Linked DNA regions of Nothobranchius furzeri. The protein of the gene in region 2 purifies or fractionates together with the protein of the main gene of each other region. This does not show direct contact. Links are inferred from orthologs where the notes say so. Each region holds a gene or a part of one and is shown on either strand. Other genes may lie near its edges. The genes, in order: thumpd1 and nat10.

What was found.
Region 1: the proteins of nat10 (region 2) and thumpd1 purify together in Homo sapiens (co-immunoprecipitation; 3 studies listed by BioGRID and IntAct, counting the BioPlex papers as one, with this or other methods). This does not show direct contact. The link is inferred for Nothobranchius furzeri from reciprocal best matches to the Homo sapiens genes NAT10 and THUMPD1.

The regions. Positions count from the first base shown.
Region 1 is NC_091744.1:8,209,045-8,211,595, forward strand, and holds the end of thumpd1 (THUMP domain-containing protein 1), read right to left. Parts: intron 1,703-2,551; coding exon 1,540-1,702; intron 1,457-1,539; coding exon 1,095-1,456; 3' UTR 721-1,094; downstream 1-720. UniProt on the Homo sapiens protein: Functions as a tRNA-binding adapter to mediate NAT10-dependent tRNA acetylation modifying cytidine to N4-acetylcytidine (ac4C).
Region 2 is NC_091744.1:58,958,119-58,961,946, reverse strand, and holds part of nat10 (RNA cytidine acetyltransferase), read right to left. Parts: coding exon 3,758-3,828; intron 3,338-3,757; coding exon 3,204-3,337; intron 3,121-3,203; coding exon 3,027-3,120; intron 2,943-3,026; coding exon 2,844-2,942; intron 2,774-2,843; coding exon 2,637-2,773; intron 2,554-2,636; coding exon 2,429-2,553; intron 2,351-2,428; coding exon 2,200-2,350; intron 2,069-2,199; coding exon 1,972-2,068; intron 1,900-1,971; coding exon 1,783-1,899; intron 1,706-1,782; coding exon 1,604-1,705; intron 1,525-1,603; coding exon 1,450-1,524; intron 27-1,449; coding exon 1-26. UniProt on the Homo sapiens protein: RNA cytidine acetyltransferase that catalyzes the formation of N(4)-acetylcytidine (ac4C) modification on mRNAs, 18S rRNA and tRNAs.

The DNA.
Region 1 (2,551 bases), about 51 Mb from region 2:
TGCGGTTATCCCTAGAGCTTGTACACTTTTTTCTACCACATTTTTTCCGTCCCTTCGCCTGTCTGTTAATGTGCTTGGACACAGAGCTCTGCGAACAGCCAGCTTCTTTAGCAATCACCTTTTGTGTCTTGCCCTCCTTGTGCAAGGTGTCAATGATTGTCTTTTGGACAGCTGTTAAGTCAGAAGTCTTCCCCATGATTGTGGTGCCTTCAAAACAAGACTGAGGGACCTTTTAAAGGCCTTTGCAGGTGTTTTGAGTAAATCAGCTGATTAGAGTGGCAGCAGGTGTCTTCTATATTCAGCCTTTTCAGAATATTCTAATTTTTTGAGATACCAAATTTGGAGTTTTCATTAGTTGTCACTTATGAATATCAAATTTAAATGTAATGAACATTGGAAATACATTGGTCTGTGTGCATTGCATGAATATAATGTACAAGTTTCACGTTTTGAATGGAATTACTGAAATATTTTCAACCTTTTGATGATATTCTAATTTACTGGCCAGCACCTGTATTTCATGGATGAGGTGCTCATGTTCAGAGCTGGTGACCAGAACGATTCAGGATGAGCAGATTTCTTTTTAATATCCGATTCCCTTTCCTTCTTAAAATGTAAACATCAATTAGAAAAAGTACAGAACAGAGATTGCTTTGAATAATCAAAGAAAATAATGGCTTTAAATCTGCAGAGTTCAGGAAAAAACAAAAAACAGACAGGTCAGGTACCACATAGTTTTTATGGTGGATTCATGCTAGGTTCTTATGGGTTCCTGCCTATAAATAGTCAGATCTCATCTTTAGAATATCCATCATGTTGTCCTCATGTCAACTTTGTGTAAAATAAAAAAAGTAAAACTAGACTATTGAAATCAGAATTCACATTTAAAACCTAGCCAGAACTAAATTGTGTTTTAAGATGCAGATTTAATAAAATAACTCTAAACTAATGAACGCTCAGATGTATCAAGTAATAAAACATTAGATCTTTCTGACTTTTGTAAAAAAAAAAAAAAAATCTGTTTTGTTTAGCAAAGGTTTTGAGACCATAACGTTGAGATGAAGCCTCAACAGCAGACTGATTTCTGTCAACTTTTAATCCCCGCCATCTTCTCCCTTTTTAACCTCATTGTCCTCACAGCCATCTGCCCTCTTCTCCACCTGCACACCTTCAGCACCCTTATTCATCTTCTCCTTTTGGGATTCCTTTTCACCCGTCTTCTCTTCCACTTTCTCGGACTCTCCTTTACCGAGTTCTTCTGCGTCAGTGTTTGTGGCGACCACAGCAGGTTTGGGAACGTCTTCTTTTACTATTTCATAAACATTAAACTTTCTGTACAGCTGATAATCTTTGACCACGCAGACGCAGCAAACGGCCTTGATGACCTCCACGATGACCGTAAGCTCAGGGTTTGTCAGGTCCACTTTGTTTTCCTGGTTCAGGCTTCCCAAAACACCTGAACTGGTGAAAAGTTGACTGGTCAGTTTTCGACGTCAAAAAACATAAAAATTTAAAAAATAAACATGAACCTGAGTTAACCTGCAACATGTTTGATGATTTCCTCTCGCTTGTTCTGGTTGTTGTTGCGAGCTTTGTAGGCGATCTTGTAGGTTGTGCTGTTGGGAGCTTTAAACCAAGGCACCAGGAACGTGGTCAGATATTTTACTATATCTTCCTGGTAAGCCCTGCATGTTCCAATGACCTGAAGGAGAAGAAAACATCAGCGACTGCAGGTGTTGAAGGGAAAACTGCAGACTCATCAAAAAAAAAAAAAAAAAAAAAAAGACAATGGCATGTAAAACCGTGATAAAAAACACAACCACGTTATCTCATTACTGTTTAGTGCATCGACAGGTGGGTGTCTTCCAATTTTTATAAGATGTAGAGGTAGTGTGAAGTAGCATGGTCCTTCAAGAGTGAGGTGTTTGTTAGGAACAAAATAAACTGACTGCTTTTTATGTGTTTTCTCCCTTAACCTTTTAGTTGGTAAACAACCCAATCTAGTTTTACTACATTCTACTGTGTTATGCTGGTATTTTCATTCTGGACAAACAAGCATAAGAATTTTGCAAGCTTGTCTATCATATAAGGGCATGATTGAGGTTGCATCCGTTTCGTTAAATGAGAGAAACACTAAAGCCGGGCGTACACTGTGCAACTTTTTCACTCGCAGCGTTCAGCTTCAGCTCAAACTGTACGACTTCCTCGCAGGGCAGATCTCACGAGCCAGGCGCTCACACTGTACGACCCAGTTCTCGGATGCGACCTGACTGCTCACACTGTACGTCTGGTAGCAACACGTCGGACCTAAAAATATGCTAAAAATAGCAGTTTTTACTCAACACGTCAGACTTTTTTGTCTTGTCTTGCCTGTTGTCCTTCGGGAGAGCTGCAGGAGGACACACAGGGATTTATGGGGGTTGGATGAGGAAACGAAATAAAGAAAGTAAATCTGTGTTTTGTGATCAGTTTAATATGACATGAACACGACAAACACGCTTTCTTGACAATCTTTGTGAGTAAAAAAACGTGTAGAAATAAAAACAAACAG
Region 2 (3,828 bases):
TGGAGAGCTCTGGAGCCGTAGCCCATCTGTTGGACAGGATGAGTCTCTAGTTACACCAGATCTGGGATCTGTCTCTCTGACGCTGTGGTTCAAGTTTAAAGCACGATCAGACGCATTTTTAATACAGCATTAACAAAGGTCCTCCTCCATAGGAAAAGTCAAAGCGCTGCAAATCTTTACAGAAAGCATAAATTAACTGACGTTAGTTCAGAGCACTCATAATAAATGTGGTTAAAAATTAGTGGACAAAAGGCCTGTGCTGTTTCTGTTTTCTAGGAATTACTACGTACTCTAGAGATAAACAAACTCTGTTCGCTTTCGTAATTTTATGTAGAAATAGGTTCACTTTCATCTGGATTTCACTTATTACCTTCTATGGAGCTGATGCAGCACATTTTCACCTTGTCCTAAAGGCCCATGCTGCCGACCGCCACCGTGGTGTAATGATTTCATTAGGCTACATGAAGGCGATAAACACCGATGAGGGCCTGAGCCTTGAAATTACTCAATTCAGAGCGACTCTGTATTCGAACCAAGTAACGTGATATTTATCTAACTTGAGTAATTATTTATGATGTTGTGTGTTTGCACAGATGGATGTTTAAAGAACACGCTCACTGAGAAACCATTTTTCCTTCTTATTACAGAAATATGATTTGTCACTGAGTTTTCATGCAGGCTGAACATGAAAATAGTCTCCTACACCTATCTCCCGCATAGATTCTGACAGAAAATAGACGATGAAACGCTAGGATTAAAAATCCTGACAGATCTACATCACTCTGTCACTTAACATTCATGGACTCGCCCATCTCGACTCGGGACGGGGAAGGCTGTTGCTGTTTTAGCGTCCAGGAAACAACAGAGAACGTCTTAGCTAGTAGAAGCTAACTGTTAGCATTATCAACTCCACCACACAGCAGAACTCCTCCAGGCTTGTGTTATTTGTGCAGAGCAAACCGAGTCAGTGGTAGAGTTGTGTTGCTGTTAGCCAATCAGAGGAGAGATGTCTGAATATCATGAATTTTAATGAGTAAGACTCAAAATCCTGACCCCTCCAAACAGGAGCGCCAGAGCAGACACAAAGGACTAGCGCCACAGAGATCGACCCACAAGTCATCCATTAATACTAGAGACCACTGCAAATATACCGAAATGAGAGCTTTATTATTGTTTTAGGTCTCTTTGAGTCTTTCTTCCTGAAACGTCTGTTGCTGCTCTATATTTGACTTCATGTCAACTTATTTATTTTTAAAGACTTTTGGCAACACTGAGCATTAAATTGACAATAAACCAGCTGAATTCAAAATCTAATCAGAGAGGGAGCCTTCCTGTCCCTCCTTTAATTTGACTGATAATCCAGGTTTCTGGCTGCTAAAGCCTAAACAAACCACTCCTGACCGCTTACTGCATAACAACCAGTTAACCGTAGTGTTTACGTGTTCTCACCCCTTGGTAGTCTGGATTGACTGCTATTCGAACCACTCTGCCTCCAGACAGGCTGCCAAAGTCTGGATCTTGAAACTGTGATGAGGCGAGAAAAGCATTCCTCATTTCAGTTTTAAAACTTAAGTTTGTAGAAAGCTTTCTGATTGGTGGTCACCTGCTCCGACACGGTCCAGGGAATGAGGTCGCCTGAGGCCTTCTTCCCTCTGGACAGACTGTTGAGGACAGATTGCCTCGATATTTCTCCCTCCAGACACACCTGAGATAGCAGACAAAACAAAGAAGTATGTGAAACCGTTAGCGACTGGACTGGATCTTAGGGTGTTTCTAGATTACCTGCACCACAGCGAGGACCTCGGGCAGCGAGTTCTGAGTAGGAGGTACAGGTGGCAAGAGGCAGAAAAGGTGATGAGCTGGAGCGTCGGACAGCATCTGGAGGTCATTGGGGGAATTCTGGAGCCAAGACAATGAGTCAGCAACCAGGAAGAACAACGTGTGATAATATGCTCCAGAAAAACCGACCACCTTGTAGTGCGATGCCACATAGAGCGCCATCAACCTCTGCAGAAAAGCCTCAGAAGCTTTGTGATAACAAAACAGCGTGTCTCTGTTCACATAGTAGCTGGACAGCCATCACTAAGGACACATACACATTTATTTTCCTGTTGTATTTAAGGATGTTAAGGCCGTCAGTCTGAACTTGTCGATGTCTCTTAGCAGCAGCAGGTTAACTGATCAGAAACTGAAGGATACAGGTCACAGGTCTGTGGAAGTGGGCAGCCAGAAATGAGTCTGGGGATGTTGAGGCAGTCGAGGCAGAGCAGCTCGTTCAGCCACTTCTCCACCGCATCTCCACTACCATAACGAATCGACTCGTGTAGAGAGGCTTCATGCAGAGTGCGAGCTGTGTACGGCAACAGGTAAACATCAGTTAGACAGTACATACAGCCTAGGCAATAAAAATAAAGACTTTAAGGCTAACCTGCTGCTAGCCTTGCTGTGCTGGTGGTCCTGTTCTCTGCAGATGTGCTCTGCTGAGTCTCTGCACTCTGCTGCCTCAGCTGCTGGATCAGCTTGAGGGAAAGCGAGCGCCCGGTGCCCTCATATCTGCACAGACATTCTGGTTAGTTTGCTGAACTCCGATGAACACAAAGCTCTCTGAGGGACATGTTTCAGTTTTTACCACTGACCCGTTGATAGTGGAGGCCATGAAAACCAGATAAGGCCCCAGCAGATTCTTAACGAGAGGAAGAGGGATGGCCGCAGCCTCGTCGATCACCAGTAGCTCAGCTTGGCCCAGCTTTACCGCGTCCCCTGGGTGGATGTACTGCCGGGCACAAAAGAACGCTCAAACCTCTCTTCTTAAAATGAAACAATACGACAAATCCACTGGTTACCTGAATGGTCTGTCGATGCTCTTTGAAGATGTTCACTCGCACCACGGCTTTGTTAAATTCAGGATTTAATGATTGGATGATTTCATAATCAAGATGCTCCTGCGTGTTCACACAAGCGTGACGTGTTTATACCTCTACGTCATCAGTAATTTACCATCAGACAGAATAAGTGAGCAGGTCTACCTGATACTGCAGCGCATCGAAGCCTTTGAAGATGAACTCAAACATGGTGTGAAGGTTGTCTGGGCTTGGAGAGGTTACAAAGATGTTGGAGTAGCTGAACGAGACAAAGGCAGATGGATGAAGGACGACAAAGACACAACATGTGTAATGTTGTGACATCACGAAACTAATCTGTACCCAAAGGCCACCGCTCCAGCCACAGCCAGGCCCATGGCAGCGGATTTGCCTCGACCTCGAGCGGCCGTCAGAGCAACGGTGCTCCTCAGGGTCTTCTCTGAGATTGCTTCGATAAATTTAAGCACTGCTTTTGCCTGCAGGAAAACAGGATTACATCCTTCAATTCAATTCAATTCAAGTTTATTTATACAGCGCCAAATCACGACAAGAGTCGTCTCAAGGCACTTCACATAATAAACATTCCAATAAAGGTCAGTTCATTAAGCCAATCAGAAATAATGTTTCCTATATAAGGAACCCAGCAAATTGCATCAAGTCACTGACACTAGTCAGTGACTTGATGCAATCCTCATACTAAGCAAGCATATAGCGACAGTGGAGAGGAAAACTCCCTTTTAACAATAAGGATGCGTCTTCTGATAGGATTGTTTAACCGATGCTGTCACCTGCAGCTTGCTGACATATTAATGATAGCACTTTTTAACTCCATGTAGTGTAAAGCCTCAGAATCTTGAATGGGTGGTATAAGCTGGTAGCATTGGAGTGGTGCTGACCTGGTCCATGGTCCTGCAGGAATCCACCAGCACACCAACAGGCTGAGTGTCCTGAAGAGACTCCTTAAGGT